3 linked regions of the Schizosaccharomyces pombe genome follow. The gene in region 2 interacts genetically with the main gene of each other region. Each region holds a gene or a part of one and is shown on either strand. Other genes may lie near its edges.

The links. Genes that interact genetically often act in the same process or in processes that back each other up.
Region 1: of gad8 (region 2) and ryh1, a mutation in one rescues a mutant of the other (synthetic rescue), as found in Schizosaccharomyces pombe (2 studies listed by BioGRID, with this or other methods).
Region 3: of gad8 (region 2) and git5, extra expression of one rescues a mutant of the other (dosage rescue), as found in Schizosaccharomyces pombe (one study listed by BioGRID).

Annotation. Positions count from the first base shown.
Region 1 is NC_003424.3:1,191,751-1,198,244, reverse strand, and holds ryh1 (Rab family GTPase Ryh1), read left to right. Parts: upstream 1-3,099; 5' UTR 3,100-3,208; coding exon 3,209-3,331; exon of another isoform or gene 3,332-3,374; coding exon 3,375-3,534; intron 3,535-3,611; exon of another isoform or gene 3,612-3,613; coding exon 3,614-3,725; exon of another isoform or gene 3,726-3,837; coding exon 3,838-4,048; 3' UTR 4,049-4,631; coding exon of another isoform or gene 4,632-5,048; 3' UTR 5,049-5,099; coding exon of another isoform or gene 5,100-5,183; 3' UTR 5,184-5,234; coding exon of another isoform or gene 5,235-5,329; 3' UTR 5,330-5,403; coding exon of another isoform or gene 5,404-5,466; 3' UTR 5,467-5,540; downstream 5,541-6,494. Other genes in the region: SPOM_SPAC4C5.03 (multispanning membrane protein, CTNS/PQ domain protein), read right to left, coding at 342-1,250; pseudouridine-5'-phosphatase Pud1, read right to left, coding at 4,632-5,048, 5,100-5,183, 5,235-5,329, 5,404-5,466, 5,541-5,583, 5,653-5,700. UniProt on the Schizosaccharomyces pombe protein: Has a role in retrograde traffricking of proteins from the endosome to the Golgi. Involved in protein transport to the plasma membrane. Involved in the secretory pathway where it has a role in acid phosphatase secretion.
Region 2 is NC_003421.2:909,070-916,844, reverse strand, and holds gad8 (serine/threonine protein kinase (AGC family) Gad8), read right to left. Parts: upstream 4,346-7,775; 5' UTR 3,729-4,345; coding exon 3,707-3,728; intron 3,636-3,706; coding exon 1,948-3,635; 3' UTR 1,607-1,947; downstream 1-1,606. Other genes in the region: SAGA complex subunit Ada2, read left to right, coding at 150-1,463; SPOM_SPCC24B10.06 (uncharacterized protein), read right to left, coding at 5,586-5,781, 5,847-5,997, 6,212-6,335; Tim9-Tim10 complex subunit Tim9, read right to left, coding at 7,380-7,556. UniProt on the Schizosaccharomyces pombe protein: Involved in a signaling module for sexual development and cell growth under stressed conditions. Required for G1 arrest under nitrogen starvation and for growth at high temperature and osmolarity.
Region 3 is NC_003423.3:1,460,912-1,466,696, forward strand, and holds git5 (heterotrimeric G protein beta (WD repeat) subunit Git5), read left to right. Parts: upstream 1-2,937; 5' UTR 2,938-3,414; coding exon 3,415-4,332; 3' UTR 4,333-4,834; downstream 4,835-5,785. Other genes in the region: ribosome biogenesis protein Llp1, read left to right, coding at 1-156; mug93 (TPR repeat-containing protein), read left to right, coding at 808-864, 924-1,033, 1,188-2,172; putative alpha-1,2-mannosyltransferase Omh5, read right to left, coding at 4,900-5,124, 5,227-5,785. UniProt on the Schizosaccharomyces pombe protein: Beta subunit of the heterotrimeric guanine nucleotide-binding protein (G protein) involved in glucose-induced cAMP signaling.

The DNA of each region.
Region 1 (6,494 bases), on a different chromosome or scaffold from region 2:
ACCATATTCTTGGTAATTGAGAAGCGAAACAGCGTTTTCAATGTTATTCTACATAAAATAAACAGATTAGATTAAGTAACAAATAAGCAAATCTATAGCAATGTGGGAAAGGGAATACTAGAATCTGACTAAGAGTGCTGAAATTCATCAAGTGGGAAAAAATAAAATAAATACCAGTGGTTCATGGATTTAAAAGCAAAACGTATAACATCACGCAATCCAATTCTAATGTGCGGAAAAAATTTTTGAAGAGTAAACCTTACTAACTGAATGAAACAAATATTAGGAATTTTTTCGGTAAACAAATAGATAAGGGACGTGAAAACATAAAGAAAATGTTATTATTCGGGACCAGTTTCGGCTTCCAAAATTCGTACAGCTCGCTGACTTTCTTCTTCCTGTAAAGTGGCCTGCAATTCCTCCCTCTTTCTTCTACTTTTTTCTTTGTGCAAATAAAACATGCAAAGCATTAATAACAATCCTTGAAGGCATGCGCTGACAATATACATCATGTACGTAGTCCAATTAGTACCGGGCAACCTGGATAGTAAATATCCGATCAAAAATCCACCCGGAGTTTGCATCATCATCATTGGGATACTAAGGGCACCATGGCTTTGATGGCGTATAGTTTTTATGATTTGAGGAACATACTGAACGACCGCGCAGAATGAAGCGCTAAATCCAAGGAATGCTGCCCAAGCAAAGTTCGAACTAAGGACGGTTGCGGATAGACAGATGATAAACAATCCCCAAGTAAATACACCAAGTAGCCCATAAGATGCTTTTCGCCATTTACGACTTTTCGTTACACTTAAAGGCTCAGGGATTGGTAAACCATTTTCGTCATCTGCTGCAACAAAGTGAATAGGTCGAGGGAGAAACATCCAGAAAGCCATAAGAACACAACCCATAATAAGTACCTGAGAACCCACTTGAATTAAACCGGTTGTGTTAGCAAAGCATTGCTTTTTGGAATAGTAATTTTGACAGCATTCAGTTAAAGGGCTAATTTGTAGAGCAATGACATTTGAGAACGCATTAAGAACACCTATGTAACCCAAAATAAGGTAAGAAAAACTTAAGCCTTGCGAACTTCCGAGACGAACAATGCGAAAGATTTGTAACAGGTAAGAAATGATGAGGCCTATGATAATATACACTGAAAAGATAAAGCTAGCTTTTGTTGCCAAAGGGCACTTCGGTGGTGTATCATCATCAAAAATGAAACTGCTCGTGCTAAACTCCATCGTTCATACGTACTTCGTCTCCTATAATAAAATCGTAATAAAGAAATGCAATACGAAGTTAATTTCTAATGCTTTGTATAAAAATATATAAATAAACGATGCCTGGGCTGCCAATAATGGTACGATGAAGTAAAGGTTGCTAACTTTGGGGCTTATTGAACAAGCGTCACTAAGGAAAGACAATTTAAAATTTCCTTTTGAAATAATTGGTGTTTAATAAATAAGTAAAAGGAAGAATCGCCAAAAAATTGGATTTTTCATTTAATTTTGTCGAAAATGGGGAAAGGAGAGGCAGTGTAAGCTACATTAGTCGGAGGGCTTAGACACAAAGTTGTGAGCTGTAACGTATAATATTGAAATTTTGCGATATTTAAAGTGCTATAAATTTGACATTGGAGAAAATAAATAAGTAAATAAACAATGAATTATAGAAGAAGATAAAAGGAACTGAATGAATTGTATATCTTAATAAACTAGGTAAATTTTTTTCTCTTTTAAAAACATGAGTGAAATGAAATGGCGCTACACATCTAAAAATTGAAATACATCAAGACACTTTACAAAAAAATTTCTAAATTGAATCTAAAATCAAGTTCTTTTGTTTTTAACCCCATTATCTTTTTAAAGATTCTAAATAATCTAAATTAATCGTTTGAACCAAATTTTTTATAGGATATATAACTACATATTTACTTTTTAAATTCTTTTTCATCTTATCATTAAATTCCGAGATTTTTTATTCCAAACAGCAGCTAATAATTATGAAATAACTTAGTTTTTAATTCTCTTATCTTTCTTGAACTTTTCGTCATATTGCAATAAGGATACAAATAAAAAAAAAATTTATTTTTAAAAGAATCTAAGCTTGAAAAGCCATACTATTTACTCTTTTATTGATTTCGAAAATTATTAAATTAAAACCCACTAACTAACCTGTTATTGTTGACATTAAGTATAAAATTTGACTTGGCTGTTCCGTAGCTAATTGTATCATTAATGAAATGACCGAGTTTGCTAAATTAACTCGAGTATATTTTCCTGTAAAGCTTATATTTTGCTTAAATCTGACTCGTTTAACAGCTAGTTTTATTCAAGTTAACAAACATACATTTTTCGAACAGTTTGGTGCAGTCTGCCAATCTTGAACTTGGTAGCAGACAGGATGCGTAGATTATGAAACATTCTAATAAAATTTCAAATGGAATAAAGCCATTATGTTGAATTTCAAGCTTGTTCTATGGTTTAACTACTTTCCATTTTCCTTCTTTCATCAGCTACTAAACAAAAAAATTACCTTATACTTTACTAATATGCTGAAGCCTTCAATGTTTGGGCATGTGATGCAGTGGTAGCATGCTCGCTTTGCATGCGAGTCGTCCTGGGTTCAATCCCCAGCGTGTCCAATATTTTTTTGTAAACTTAGCTACTCTCAGCAAAAATTAGGCCATTCCAATCGAGAGATTTCTTGTATTATATAGTTTAATGATAATCAAATCTCGATGACTCCTCCTTCCCATGCGATGTGGCGCGTTTTTATCCCAGTTGTCATTCCTTGAAATGTTGTGTATAAAACTATGAGTAGTAAACAAACTGTTGTTACAGCTGTATGTTTTTTAACACCCAAAAACCTATCACTATCAACAACTCAAAGAAAAAGAACCCATCTTTAGGAATGCTTAGTAATTTAAGAACGGTGAGAGTTCATGATTTCTTTTTCAGCGAAAAAGTTGTTTGTTATAGAATTACTTTACCGAGATTAAACTTCGTAAAAGCGAATGAAAAGTAAAACAAGCGAAAGTATATTAAGGATATGCGGCGGGATCTCACTGTAGCACGATAGTCTTTACTCACTACTACCACTATTAAGTACGGTGCTTTTTGATCATCAATAAGCAATTCCGTCTGTATCTAAATTACTTTTGTCTGTGTATATTTAGAAGTCAAAACTTTTTGTCATAATGTCAGAAAATTACTCGTTTTCTTTGCGTAAATTTAAGTTGGTTTTTCTCGGTGAGCAGTCAGTTGGCAAAACATCGTTAATTACACGATTTATGTACGATCAGTTTGATAATACTTATCAAGTAAGTAACTATAATTAAAACTTCTTTACTAACAGGGTCCAAGGCTACTATTGGTATAGACTTTCTAAGCAAGACTATGTATTTGGAAGATCGAACGGTTCGTCTTCAACTATGGGATACTGCTGGTCAAGAACGTTTCCGTTCTTTAATTCCTTCGTATATTAGGGATTCTTCTGTTGCTATTATTGTTTACGATATCACTAGTAAGTAATAGTGGCACAGTAATTTTGCCATATATTTTTACTCAGACTTTATTTTCGAATATCTGCTAACTACTTATAGACCATAACTCTTTTGTAAATACTGAGAAATGGATTGAAGATGTTCGTGCTGAGCGGGGAGACGACGTTATAATTGTTCTCGTTGGTAATAAAACGGACTTGGCTGATAAAAGGTATGACACTCCAGCTAACAGAGATTCAGCATTTACAATGCGACATCTCTTCATTCATAATTCCAAAGCTATATTTTGGTTTTTGATGGTTCTTATGCTAACGGTGGTTTAGGCAAGTGACTCAAGAAGAAGGAGAAAAAAAGGCAAAAGAATTAAAAATAATGCACATGGAAACTAGTGCTAAAGCGGGTCACAATGTAAAACTGTTGTTTAGGAAAATTGCACAAATGTTACCAGGCATGGAGAATGTGGAAACACAAAGCACTCAAATGATTGACGTTAGCATTCAGCCTAACGAGAATGAAAGCAGCTGCAATTGCTAGTGTATCTCATTGAACATGTCAGTGTACTCTAACTGTTTCGTGAATTATTTTTTTTCGCTTCAGGCCGCAATCAGCGGTTTTTAATGTCATTTGACCCTCAAAAAGTATACTGTGAGTATATATATATCTTCTTATAGCCCCTAAATCTTTTGCACCTTTAAAGAATCGCGATTCCTTTTATACCTGTTTCCTTTTCCTTCTTTTTTTACTTGTTTTAGTCCTTTTTTATTTTAATCCTGTCTCTATGATATATGCTTTACAAAAGTGAGAAGTTGAATTTCTGAATAAGTCTCTTTCGTTTAATCCCTGCGGTGCTTCTTGACTTTTCAAGGGCATTTGCAAAGAAGGAAAAAAATTACAATGTATGATTTTGGAATTCAGAGAAATGTTATTATTTTTTTTTTTTTAGATTTCGCTTTTTCCCTTTACTCATAAGTTATTTATGCTATGTGAGTCAGTTCAAGGTTTTCATTGAAACAGTAGAACTTTATTTATACTTCAATTTTTTAATTTTATTAAAAGATATGAGGTTTTTTGCCAAAAAAAATTGAATGAACCAAAAAAAAGTTAGCGGATATAACCTCTAGGCCTGCTTTGAATTTATGTTAAGATATTTGTTTATATCAAACTCTGAAAGACTCGGTAACGTCTCACATTGAGAATCAACAATCTCATTCAGCTGATCCCCTACCAAGTTTTTGATGGCAGCATCTGGAACCCAAATGACATGCATTCCTGCAGCCTTTGCACTTTTGACACCGGGAATACTGTCTTCAAAGGCAATGCATTGGCTTGGTGTAAGTGCCTTCAAACCTCGCTGCTTCCTACTTTCATTTATTAAATTCAACACCTTCAGCCAAATGTCTGGAAAAGGTTTGCCACGACCAGGTGCAATACTAGGATTATCACCTGTAATAACATTTTTACCAAATTTCTCAAAAATATGTTTAAGATGGGCTGTCTTCATATTATAATTTGCGGTATTAGAGGAAGTAGCAAGCTGGTGATGCTGTTAGCACACTTTTATTATAGCGTAGGGATGAGTACATACCCCGATATCAATTCCATGATTGGAGAGGTTATTAATCAAAGATTCAGCCCCAGGCATAGGCTTCAAAGACGACCAAAACTTTGCCTTTCAGAAAGTTAGTTGAAATGGAAATAAATGTAGCGTATAAGTACGTACCCGAATAACCTGTTGTTCATCAACGAATTGTTGAGGAGTCATAGGAATGTTGGACCAATCTATAACAACCTTGGCAGCTGCGGAACCCGGTCTCCCTACGTATCGCAAGTTAGACCTGCAATTTTGAAAGCATTTTAAAATATCTCTTCGCTAGCTTTATATAACATACCCATCATTTGAGCCTTAACAGAAATAGGAAGAGGATCCTTGCCATACCTGTCCAATATAAGATCTATAAAAAAAATAAAGATTAGAAAACATTGTAGTTTTGTGCTAAATATAAGCACAGATATATTATTTACATACTGGTCGTCTTTGTATAAATAGTTTCACTGTCGACAAGTAGACCCTGTAAAAAGAGTGATTGTTAATGCAAAAGCTTTCATAAGAGGTAATGTGGTGTGAAAAATAAACATACATCCATATCGAATAGACAAGCCATGTATTTTACGTGTTTAGCAGCCATTTCTAGGTAAAAAGATAGTGAAGCTTCTACGACCTAACAAAACCAAAGAAAAAAAAAAGCAGAAAAAAAACTTCCGGGATATCCAAAAAATCAAGTTTCAAAAAAGTATATTGCTGTATAACCAATAAAAAAGTATAAAATCTTCCAAAACAAGAATTAACAATTAAATATACAAATACAATTAAAGAAAACAAAGACACCGACAAATGAAGTGTTAACTGTATATCTAATTAAAAAAATCCGCGAAAAACCAAAAAATAAGGACAGTTGTTAAAGATCAACAAAGAAACGTCGATACAGTAAGGCGTGATAATTAGGCAGAATGAAAAATAGCTAAATCCCAAAACTGTGCAAACTGCAATAAGTAATCAACAATCGTAGATTAGAGTAAATCCGTGTGTCGGATGATTGGGAGCAATATTGAAGAGTTCGTTAATCTGTTTTAGTGAGAATTCAACCGCACTACTGAAAGAGAATTAAGCGTTTATATTAACCATGAAATTGTAATCCGGTTTTAATGATGCCTTAAGCTGTGGTGAATTTTCCTTGTAATTTACTTATCTATATCGCGGTACCCAGGTAGTGTAAGTTAGCGATTGTTTTGGGATATTTTTCTATGAAGGTGATGAATATTTTGACACTGAGATCGTTCATTTCCAAATTGAATAATACTGGTTCTGTTAGGCTCTCATTATATATCAATGAATAATATCCAGCTGACTATAAGCAATGATGAACCTATCCTGTATCATTTATGTACAGTGAATAGAGAAATAAAACATTTGACATATTGC
Region 2 (7,775 bases):
AAAGAGTTTTCTAAGTTTAATGATCTAATTTTCATATTTGAAATCCAACTTTTACTTCTCATTTTACTCAAGCTTCTTTGATATTCTACGCATCGGATCATCACTTTGCTCCACCATATAGGGACGAAAAATTTTGCACATGAAGCAGGATGCCTCCTCAAAAGTATCATTGCAACGTCTGCGCCCAAGATATAACAAGATCCATTCATATTCGGTGCGTAGAATGTGTTGACTTCGATTTGTGCATCCCCTGCTTTACATCTGGTGCCTCCCTAGGAACTCACCATCCGTCTCATCCGTATAGGATTATTGAAACCAATTCATACCCTATTTTCGACGAAAATTGGGGTGCTGATGAGGAACTCTTACTAATCGATGCTTGTGAAACACTGGGCCTTGGAAACTGGGCTGACATTGCAGACTATGTGGGAAATGCTCGGACGAAAGAAGAATGTCGGGATCATTATCTGAAAACCTATATTGAGTCGGATTGCTATCCATTAGCAAGCGTAGAGCTCCCTGGACCGGTGGATCGCATAGCATTTGCGGCACGGAAACGAGCTCGTATTGAAGCTTTTCAGCCTCCACCGATTATTCCTCAAAAGCCTCTAGCATCTACACCCCAATGCCACGAAATCCAAGGCTATATGCCGGGCCGTCTTGAATTTGATCAAGAGTACATGAACGAAGCTGAACTGCCCATAAAGGATATGAATTTTGATGACGATTTACACGAGTCAGCAAAGCATGAAATGCAACTTAAGCTGACTATGCTTAACATATATAATTCCCGTCTTACTCGTCGGGCTGTTCGTAAACAAACCATTTTCAATCACAACCTTTTAGATTATCGACGGCTACAGGCGAATGAGAAGCGCATGTCAAAAGAGGAACGAAACTTACTTAATAAAACAAAAGCATTTGCTCGACTTTTGACGGGCCCTGATTACCAAAAGTTCGTGAACAGCTATCACGAGCAAATAACCCTAAAAAAACAAATTTCTGATTTACAGGAATGGCGACAGATGGGTCTTACTACACTCGAACAAGGACATAAATATGAACGCGATAAAACGCAAAAATTCCTCTTAAGTAAAGCTTCTGCTTCATATGATAAGCAATTGAGGCATGTTAAGTCGTTTAACCAAACCACTTCCGCTCCTTTTCAAGTTCGTGACATTCAAAAGATTGTTCCTCGAAAACCAGCGACTCCCACAATGTTTTCTGCTTCCGCTGATCGGCAACTGCTTTCAGAGGATGAGCAAGCGCTTTGCTCAAAACTGCAGATTTTCCCTAAACCATTTTTGGCTCTAAAATTTGCCTTAATATCGGCTTCACTGACTTCCAAAAAACCATTTCAAAAAACCGATGCAGTTAATTTATTTAAACACTTAGACGCTAATAAAGTCGAACAGGTGTACGACTTCTTCCATAATGCTCGGTGGATTGGCGCTCCAACCTAAAAGTACTGGTTTCTTTTACCTTTTTCATATTACTCTTGTTTATTACCTTTACGTTTTGAAATGTAATTTTACTAATTACCCCTTCACCTTTAATTACATCTCCGTCTTTTTTTCCCTTTTCAATAGCCGTTACGTTCTTATGCTTAATAATTAAAAAGAGTTTTCCATCAATTTTCTACACTAGTAATTTCGGAAACTACAAGAACAAAAAACACTACATCCAACAATATCTGAGACTTTTTCTCAGCTGACAAAAAATAAATAATCTTCAAAGACTTGAGGTTGTCAGTAATAATAATAATAATAATGATAATAATAATAGTAATAGAAAATGATCTTGTACGACAAAAAAAGATGACAATAATGAGAAATGAACGAAGCTTTGGCCTTTATAACATACAAATATGTAAAAGAGGCAAGAAAAGCGGCATGTATGAGTAAAAATGAGAAAACTTTCAAAATAAACAAAGAAGTGTCAAATTCATCACCTAATGACACTTCCAGGTGCTATTGTATTAATGTCGTCGGATGTATCAATGGTTGTTGGTCGTTGATAGCTCCAATTGGCAAACCTTTGTTGAACGGTTTCAGATAAGTGAGAATCGGCAACAACACTATCCATTGGGATTTCCGATGTAAATTCAGAATCAAAATTACTAGTATCGATAGCTGATTCAACGCTTGGTTTAAAGGGTGGCTGTATCTTCTTGGCGCATAACTTTTTCCAGTCGATATCATCAAAGAAAGGGTGATTTTTTATTTCTTGCGCCCCTCCACTACCCAGCCGCTTCTCTGGAGCGCGGGTCAACAATCCACTCAATAAATCTTTTGCTTTCTCGTCAATGTTGTCTGGGAATCGCAAGGGATCTTGAAGAATTTTTCGGTACATTTCGTTTATATTTTCATCATAAAAAGGAGGAAGTCCTGTAATCATTTCGTAAAGTAGCACACCTAAAGTCCACCAGTCAACAACTTTTGTATAACCATGACCCAAAAGCAATTCAGGAGCGAGGTATTCAGGGGTGCCACAAAAAGTATTCGTTCTATCGGTTTTAGCCATGTTTAGCTTACAAAGTCCAAAATCACACAAAGCAATATGACCGGTGTAGTCTAATAATATGTTTTCCGGTTTTAAGTCTCGATAAATAACGTTGAACTCATGCAAACATTCCAAAGCAACAAGTAGTTCAGCAATGTAAAATTTGGCACGATATGTATCAAAACAGCCTTCTCTTTGTAAGTGATGAAATAACTCACCACCGTTAACAAAGGCCAGGACAAGATACAGCTTACCGGGAGATTGAAAGGAGAACTTTAATGGAACAATAAAAGGGTTATTAACTTGAGCAAGTACTGTCCTCTCAGCCAATGTGTGATCTACTTCACTGCGAGATACAATGTGGGCTTTTTTCATAGTTTTTAAAGCATAGATACGAGAAGTGTCACGCTTACGCACTTGCATGACTTTTCCAAAAGAGCCTTTGCCAACCACTTTCAATAGTTCAAATGCATCAATGGTTAAAGGGGTACTTTGATTGGGTTTGTAAAGCATTTGAACACGAAGTTCACCGCTACCCCCATGCAGGGGTACCCATTCGTCTGTAAGCTTGTTTACAATGAAAGAAGGCGACAGTTTAATCCCGCCTAGGAAAGCGTCATTCCCCATACCGTTGCGCGAGCGGCTGGATGAAGAACGAAGGTAAATATTCAGGGAGAGTTTGGAATAACGGGAAACGTCAAAAGTTGCCTGATAATCCCAGCAAGGATTTTCAAGGCTTGCAGTATTTAGAGCATCTACTAAGATTTCATTTTTGTCGAATTCAACGACGATATAAGGTAACCACCAAGCATGACTACGAGACCTTGCGTGTCCCGAGCCATTACTAAGTGGAGGGGCAAGTAAAGAATTGTCAATGGAAACCCCGTAGTTGGCAGGAACATGTCCCGACGGTAATTTTAAATTTCTAGCTTCTATAATTGTGACCTGCAATAAACCAGGCTGCACGACGGTACTTTGGGGAGACCGTTTATCCTCCGAGCTTTTCCGAGATTTTTCATCACTTGATTTACGAGAAGAAGTAGAGGATAAAGTACTGTTTTTCAGACCTCTAGTAAAACTAGAGCCGCCAGAGTTCAGGCCAATAGCGGATGCTAGATGAGTTTCTTTTAATTCTAAAAAGCGAAAAGCTGTTAGTATGAAAAAGAAAGACAGAGTGTGATAACCCGTATTATGGAATACATACTCTTTGTAAGTTTCCAGGACATTTCGGTAACGTCTGTTTGGAGTAGAAAAAAAAAATGAACTGATTTTTAAAAGCTCGCTTTCCCTCTATCTTTTCTTTTAATATAACGAAAATGATAAAGAATAAGGTAACGAGGCTGCAAAAAAGCTTCAATCTAACAAAAAACGTATTTATGGACTAATTCGAAGACAAAAACGGGAAGTGTACCAGTAAGCGAATACGAACGAACAATCAAATCAAATCCAAAAAAAAAATAAAATAAAAAGTAAGCACAAGTTGCAATTTTTTTTGAATAAACGAAAGGGGATACAGGCGTTTGGTAATGTCAGTATAGTAGTAAATTCGTCAAAGAAATCTAATCCCGATAAGTAGTAAGCAAGGGTGTTGATTTTAAAATTCAAAATAAATCGCAATCTCTTTTATTCCAAAATCCCTACTAAAGGAATGCTTCGTTGATAAAGTCGATTTCTAAGCCGATTTTGGTATTACGACTTTGAGCAAAGTCGCCTTCACCTCGCGGAAATTTTGACGAAATTGAAACCAATCGACAGCACTAAATACGTTAAAGTCAATGAAATAAAATTTGATGTCAAAAATGCTTTCGTTTGATATTCCCTTTGTTAGGTCGTATTGGCAGTCAGTAGATGTGGCCAGCTCGGATCATCCGTATTCCTAAAATACAAGTGGTACAAGACAGCAGCTTTTTGCGGCAGAACAACGTGAGTTCGATAAAATATTATAAGGAGAGCTACCGATACGGTCGGCACATTACGCAGGTTTGTCGTATAATGATCAAAAATTATAGACCCTTTTCTCGTACGATTGCACTATATATAAAAGTTCTTTGCAATGGTGTTTTACATATCAGCTATTAAATTAGTTAACTTAGTAATGTCAAAAAGATGGAATATTAATATAGAGAAATTAAAAGTGCTGGTGTACTCTTGTAAGTGGTAACTTGCTCAAGTTTGTAGTGACCTAAATTGAAACATAGGATTTATACTACACGTGTCAAGAAACAGCACTCAAATGGATCAATTTACAAAACGAAGTATATAGCAAAACAATACAAATAATTATCTTGACAATTATCTGCGGACAAACGCAAAATGCCGTTTACGCGTATGTGTAGCTTAGCAGACCAATTAACTTTATTTGTTTTAAAATAATTATAGAAGCATGTAAATACCACCGTTAGGATTGCAATATCCTCTTTACAAAACAAGTCATTTATTTATGCCTTCCATCAGATTTTTGCAACTTCCAAGTACGATGCGTTTTGTAAAATTTCAGTTCCTTGTGCAACAAGCGAAAAAAAAAGATAAAGCAATTTAACGGAAAAGCAATTTGTATACCAATGCTCTACTTTTAATACACTGGACGCTTCGTACAAGTCCTTCAAAGTGTATATAAATCCAAAGAGAACTGAAAAACAAAAAACATTTTCAAATAAAATAAAATAAAATAACATATAAAACAGAAATAAAACATGAACAATGAATTTATGAAAAGAACGAAATTTGTTGAAACTGATGACTCACTCAACTGTAGGCAAACCCTTACTTACCCATGAGAAAAGCAAATTCTTTTCGTAGTTACTTCTAGAAGGCTCCTCACTAGTAAAAGCGATGTTTCTTCAGAGTTTTGAATTTTCTCACAGAGAGCTCCCTTTGTGTGTTTTATTTAAAGGGATGAGACGAGTTTGCCAAAGCGCCTAAAAAAAGAAACCGGTTATCGAGCGCAGATATAGAATTGACAGTGTAAGTAGCAACAAAAATTTTAAAAGAGTAAAGTAGAATCAAAAACTATATCTAAGTTTAGAAAATCCCTAAAGAGAAATTTTCAGGTGAATGTTAGGGGGTAGGTTCCGGTTGAATTTTTAAAGGACTAAAGCGGCAAAAGCAGCAATGCTCAAGAGTGAAACAATCAATAATGAACTCTTGGAAAACCGGACAGGGGACCCACTCTCCATCAATTCGCGCCCTGTATTGGGAATGGATGCTGCGTATCCAATGGATCCGGCAGGTGCAGAAGTGTAAGTAGTAGATGGTTGATATTCGGTGTAACTATAAGGACTAAAAATAATATTAGTAATTTTACACAAACAAATAGTTTCCATAAAATGACAAGCATGACTTACAAAATGGTTTCTACACCATCCGACCAAGATTTGTCGGTGACAATCACAACATCGCTCACAGTAGTAGAGTAACTTGCCTGAGTTGAACTAGAATCATCATCCCTCTTAACAAATGGGGTCAAAGGAATTTTTGAGGGCAAAACACGATTAGCTAAATATACTGAGTTAGCTATTTCACATAGTCACAAAATATAAAGACAGAGACATAGAGAATAGAGAAGGGATGTAAAAAGAATACCAAAGTTTAAATATTAAAATATTTAAACAATGATTAAATGACAAAAACTCGGTCTACGACATTATACAACATTAAGTGCACGAGTTGGATGGACAGCAAACTTTTTACATAGCCTCAATGTACTTACTGTAGAGCAATTCAATTTCAGATAAATGCTCGAGATCTCCAATGGGAGCCACCAAAGTAGCGAAAGCACCCTGAATGATCAAGAATGAAGCAAAAACCAAAAGCGATGAAACTTTTCCAAACATTTTGCAAATGGATAAGAAGTACAGCTTTTAAGCACTAGATAAATAAAGAAGAAGGGAATGGTTTATCAATTAGCAGCACACAGCAAAGTAGATATATATACCAATATATATGCCACTGGTTTAGGTTAATGTTACGTACACGCACCGTGACAGCCGTACCTATTCACTTCCTCAAAACAGGTAACAAGATGTTACTCCCATAGAATTGTTTCAGGTAAAAACATAAACAAATCAGAATTTTATTATTTGAATTGGTTTTTTAGTTAATTTAATTAAATGTGAACAGGGAAATGAAGAAAAAATGTTTTAGTTAGGCAATTTTCCAAGTTTGGTTGTAGTCCAAAGTCATTTGTAGTAAAAATGTAAGCCAATTTACTACTGAAGTCCGCAGACTAAAAGTTTGAAAGGACTGTAAACTGGCCGGGAAAAGTCCACGAAAGATTTGATCTTGTAGTATATAAGCATAGCAATTGGAATCGTGATGGTCAAATTGCGGAACATTGACATTGCGTATGGAAAGCGAAAAGAGTATCCTAACACTTTATATTCATTTAGCATCTTCCAAGTTAGTACAGAAATTCTTTACGAATTGCAAAGCAGGAGTGTCTTTTAGCTAGTGCTTAAGATTTAAATAAAGAGGGAGATTTGAAAAAGAAAGAGACGTACTTTTTTACAAGTTTCATAAATCTATAGTCATCGATTACTGTAATGAGGATCCAAATAAATCATGATTTGTACTAGCCATTTAAAAACAAGAAGGGTCTATACATACAAGTCTTGTCTATAAACCTTAACGTCAATATTAATAAATGGTCCAAATTTGAAGAACAAAAATCATTTCATTTTAAGAATAAAAAAAGCCCAGACAACTTCACATCTCTGAAAGTGTACTGAACAAATAAACCATCTTTTAGATTTTTTAAGCAGGAGGTATAATGCACCCTTGTTAAACCACTGAAAACAGATAAGCATGTGTAGTTAGATGATGAAGGAGTTTCCAATTACACCGTACCTCGGATATGTGTTTGGCGTATCATGCATAATTTACTGACCCATGTATTTGGCATTGAACTCAGCAAATCTTTGACCGACACGTTCAGAGTGTTTTAAAAATTTGTCGGCACATTTTGCAATACATTCAGACTCTTTGTTGCTCAACTTGGAGCTGGTGAAATCTTGAACACAATCTGAGAAGCAATTTTGAGTCAAAGTAGAATACATCTATAATTCATGTTAATATCTAATCAATGAAAGCGAACATTTGGAAGAAAATGTGAAGGTTGGAGTTGAGAATGCTTCAAAAGACATCTTTATAATGGATATAAAAAACTTAAGGCAATCCAAGATTAAATTGAACAAATAAATAAAACGTTTGCTTACTAAGTTTTTTCATTCAACTATTTAAATAGCCTTCACAAAACTTAAAACCACACATTCTAA
Region 3 (5,785 bases), on a different chromosome or scaffold from region 2:
GAAGTATCCGATAACGTTGGTATGGAAGTTGATCAGCCTAAAGTCTCTACTTCTGGTCCTCGTGACAACAATCGCAACAAATGGGCAAAGAAACATTTAAAGAAAGGAAAGCGTGCCAAGAACAGTAACTTTTCGAAATTTTTGAAGAAAAAGTAAATTTAAGTTCACCATTTAATATATAAACTCCGAGATCTTTTTAAGAACTAATTATCAATCTTTTTTCTCAGATTTTTTTCCTTGGGATAATTTTATTTTCAAATTTCTGGTTTTCAACTGGAGACGTTGACCGTGTTGCATAAGGATTTTGTTTGCTTTTGGGGGGTTTGGATTATTTTATATTATTCTTTATAAAAACATATTTTTTTCCAATAATGAATATTTTGTTTCAAAGACTTACTTTTTTTCACGATGAAGTTTCTATATTGTTGGAATAAGTCAATTTTTTAATTTTATTTTTTATATTTATTGTAATTAAGTACGATGTAACTAATAACGTCTCTCTGTCTCAAAAACTGCACTTTTAAATCGTGCTTTTTGCTTTGTTTACCACATGAAATAGAATTAGTAATGCTCTTGGTTGTAAAACCTGATTTTTACAGAAATGTAATAAAGTATGAATATCTAAATATTAAATTAATTTTATTTGCGTATTTTTTATCGCTTAAAATATAATTTTAGTTATTGTTTGTTTACAAAAGTGCACATGGTTATGATATGCCTTCACACATACATTCCAATATTGTTCTACCACATAAACAAATAGATTGACATTCCATCTGATTTGAACCATCTGCATTCAAAATCGCAATGGAAGAAAAGGAGAACGTAAACTTGGTGGAAAAAAGCAATTATGTTGCACTAGAGGTATGCTCTACTTTGATTACCAGAAGATGTTTGTAACGTTTCTAACCCTCAATAAACAGAACACACGAGAAATAGATGTTTTTGATGAATTCCTTAATGCAATTGGAAATGAAAACACCATTACACCGGTTTACGCCGATAGCTCATTAACTCATTTGCGCAAAAAATCGTATGTAACATAATAAATTTAACAAATTACCTATGTCACAAAGGTTCAGAGAATCCTTTGGATTATTAACGGGGTTTCTCGAAAGAAAAAAAAACATCGTCTGAACCTTTGCAGCAGTTTTGCTTTTATGCTAACTAACTTATTTTGCATGCAGCTATACTAAAGTAGTTCATGACTGTACATATGCTCTAGTCATCAATCCGTATGATAAAAAAGTGATATGGAGGAGAGGACTAGCTTATTTGCGACTTGGACATCCTCACTTAGCCAATCGTGATTGGGAGCATTCACTTGAACTGGACCCAAACAATACATACATCCAAAAATCTCTTCATAGATTAAAGGAAGTGTATTACATTTACAGAGAATGTGCAGAAACATGGCAGTTAAGACACCTTAGAGTTGCTTCTTCTCAGCAATTACCTGTAGGATTGCGAAAACAATACCCTAATATAATTCGTGGCAAGATCTGGTGGAAGAAAGTGCACGACAATTGCCAATTGTGTGGACAGCAATGCGAACTGAAAAAGGAGAATCTTTCAGCAATGCGGTCTATGCTTTACATGGCAAATACTTATGCAAAGGATGATACCGAAAATCACTCGCCCAGCGCCCAAATCGGAATAGAAAGCTCGGAGGACGAATTAGAAAATAAAATAACTAAGGGAGAACACTCTCTATTGGTCCCAGAGGAACTGTACAGATCCAATTACCCATGCCCTCAAAACATAGATCAGTTTCTTTATATGATAAAAGTCCTATCTGCCCCCTGTTTGTACATTGAAACGTTTTCATTTCCTATTTCCACAATTAATCAATTGTTCAAAGCTCATGGAATGTCGGTTGAGCAGTTAAATTTATTCTTAAAATCAATACACTATATCGGATTGTGTTCAAGGTTTTGCAAGCAATGGTCCGACAAGGCACGATCGCTGATGCAAGCGTTGAGTGGGCTGCCGTGGTTCAGTTTTGTCGTGCAACATTGTTTACATATAACGGCAGCTCAAATTCTTTTGCATATTCCTGACATCCAAGAAGAAGAATTCAGAAACTGGCATGTTTCCAAAAAACCCATCAACAATACTGATCTCTCTTCTGAATTTGAAATTGCAGAGATCCCAATCAATTGCTACACATGATAACATTGATGACAATAAATTTTTGTATGTTAAGTCAGTCCAGAAACCATCGATGCAATCATTTGGAGTAGAAGGCATTAATAACCGTGTGTAGTTTATGAATAACACATTCATTGTATATCAACCTCTTATTTTCAGTGCTGAAATAATCATTATCAACCACATGAAGCTATATATTTGTGGGCAAAGTAGAAATGTTTGCCATTTTGTTTACCGCCGGATACACCAAGCAATGAAGACAGTCATCGACCCAATACACAAGTATTGTCCGTCAAATGTTAAGTGTAATTGTTAAAGAAATTGAACAAAATGAAAGAGACAAAAAAACTTTCAAGACAGTTTTGTGTTGCACACCAATACTGCCGTTTCTCATACTCTGAGTATATGCCATGAATCGCATATTCACGATTTAATCAAAATAAAAAAGATATCCAAAATATCTACATCTCTGTTACTAAATTGCTTGTTTATTTATAACAAAGCCATTTCACAGATACACAGCCAACGTGGTAAAGCAACCCTTTTCTCATAATCGCTACAACAGCAAAAAAATATATGTCTAATGCAGGTTTTTCAATTTTCTATTATCTCTATTAACTAAACGTTCATTTCATACAATTTTATCGGTATGGCAAGGTTATGGTAGTCTACAAGTTGAAAACCGCAGAATGAATCGGCTATTATATGCTTACGATGAGGATGACGTATTCCATATGTTTGTGTTACGCTGCACACACTATGACGGTTTCCCAATACTCTTCTTTTGACCTTAGCTCTTTACATAAATTCCAGTAAAAAAGCGAAGAAAGCCGTTTTTTTGTGTTTGTTGAAAAACGATACGTTGGTCCTTTTGGTGTTTATGTTTTTGTGCTTGTATTAGAATAATAGATTGTATAGAGGCTTGTCATCGTAAAATTGTTTCAAAGGCGAACGCCAATTTTAACATTAGAGCTTGCAATTCTTTAAACGAAGCACCATTACTATTCTCTTCCTTTTTTTTGTATTGTTTTTCTTTTATTTTTTACTCTTTAGGGTGGATTTAAAGTTGGGCACCCCTGTAGGAGTATTCTAAATTTGTTGTTGTGAGAGTAGTTTATCAGGTGGATTTATATTCTTTTCGCTTTTCTTCCTAAGATCTTTAGTATCCTTATTTCCTCCCCTTTCTTTGTGAGTATATCGTATAGGAACAGTTACGTTACTGTTGTATGAATATTAGACGGAATACTGGTTCAATTTCTAAAGATGGATTCTGGGTCAAGAGTAAACGTCAACATTCAAGGGACTCGAGTTCTCAAAAACAAGCTGGGAAAAATTCCTGACATCGACATATCTACAGATGGAAAGTACTTATTATCTGCATCAACGAATGATGTTCTGTTAGTTTGGGATTTGCACACTTCCAACAAAGTTGCGTTCTTTGAAGCACCAAGCGTATGGATTATGACTTGTGCATTCTCACCCTCCACTAAGAGCATAGCAGCTGGAGGGCTGAACAACTTTTGCGTAGTATACGATACCAGTGTTCCAGATGCGGATCCGGTCGAATTGGTTGGGCATGCAGGATTTGTTTCGTGCTGTAAGTATGTCGATGACGGTCATTTGCTTACGGGTTCTGGCGATAAAACTTGCATGTTTTGGGACATAGAGCAGGCAAAAGCCATTAGCGTTTTGAAAGGTCATGAAATGGATATTGTCTCTCTAGATTTCCTACCCTCAAATCCCAATTTATTTGTTACCGGAGGCTGTGACAAATTAGCCAAGCTCTGGGACCTTCGGGCTGCTTATTGTTGTGCCACATTTCCCGGAAATACATCGGATATTAATTCCATTTCCTTTTTTCCTTCTAACGCTGATTTTGTTACGGGTGCAGAGGATGGTATCGCTCGGTGCTTTGACATTCGTGCTTCTGCTGAGATATTCCAGTATTCATCTCCATCATCCTCCCCCATTAATTCAGTCTTATTTTCCAAGTCTGGAAAACTTCTTTTTATCGCAAAAGATAAAACATGCGAGGTTTGGGATTCCATCTCAAGCAAAACCATCACATCATTAACAGGCCATGAAAATCGAATTAGCTCTTTAGCTTTAACTTCTGATGGAACAATGTTGGCAACTGGCTCTTGGGACGAATGTGTTCGTCTCTGGTCTTCGTCAGGGTAAATTAATGATTTTTTTTCTCCTTTTTTTTTTGTCTTTGGAAATGATGATGTTTGTTTTGTTTTTTTTTCTTATACATTTACGTTTTCGATTCTAGGAGGTTGACTGCTTCATGTCCCACTGGTTTATTATTTTTCTTAATTTTTTATACGTTTATGCGTGGTTTCGTGATGCTTTACTGATAATGTATTCATAAACCCTTGTGTACTAATTCCCTATTTTTTTCGTTACGTTTCTCTTTTATTTCTAAACAAAAATATACCTTTTCGAAAATTTCGCCTTGCAAAGGTTGGCGCTTTTTTATTACTATTTAATTATTGCGATTTTGTAAACGTTTAATCCTAACGATTACCCTTTAGTCTTTTTTTCTTAAAGGTATTTTTCTTCTTACGTATGATAATAAACTTTTTTATAAATGTTGTCTTGCTGTTTTTTAAAACTTATTTTTATGAAAGAACAACCCAAATATTAAATTCTTTTATTAAATAAAATTCTATGTATGTATACTACGAATTGAAAGAAACTGTAAATAGCTATAATACAAAGAGCGTAAAGTACCCGTATTCGCTCTTATTCATCTAAAAATCCCCCCATCACCGATGCCCACTCGTTAATACAAGAACCTGGCTTAGTTTCATAATCGGGTATGTTGAAGGGGCAATCACAATTACAACCATATTCTTGACCACAGTGTTGAATTGTGGAATGTTGATACCCAAGGTCTCTAAAGTAATGGACTTGAGATCGATTAAGGAGAAGACCCACTGCTAGCGAATGCACCGGAGCATCGCCCCACTAAAATAAGTTAGTAATCAGAGATAGGAAAAAAGTATGAAGAAGATTGCACTTCGAAGAACACAATGCTTTTTTTTTTTTGAATAAACTGTAAAAACATACCCTTTCAGTCCAAAATCCTCCAGCATTTTCCAATGCGTCGACATATTCATTATACTCTTTACTATTGTAAAAGTCTAAGCGTGCAATTTCGAAGTTACTCCAAAAATGGCATAGATTATAAATCTGGCCATCAATTCGGTTTAAAGGGGGCTCCGGTAAAACGTAATATCCTTGATCTTTTTGTTCTTCTTTCAGCTTTTTAATTCTCGTTTCATAGCGTTTATCAAGGAAGAAGCTCCAAAGATCGGTAGTTGGTAAATTGGATATTTTTTGATGAGCAACAGTGTACCGAAACAGATTTGGAACAGTTTTTGCAAGTTCTTTGATAGCAATAACGTATCCGTAGACTTTATTGTGCTTGTCCATGTAGTAAAATGGGTCATAAGAGATGTCACAAGAAAAAGTGACTTCCGGTTCAAGTCTCCAATACCACTCGTACTGTTGCATTAAGGGATGTTTGTAAAAGTTTCGCGAAAAGAATCTGCACATTTTATGATAACTAGGAAAGTTCGCATATACGACTCCAACTTGTTCAGCAATACTCTCATCTATCATATCC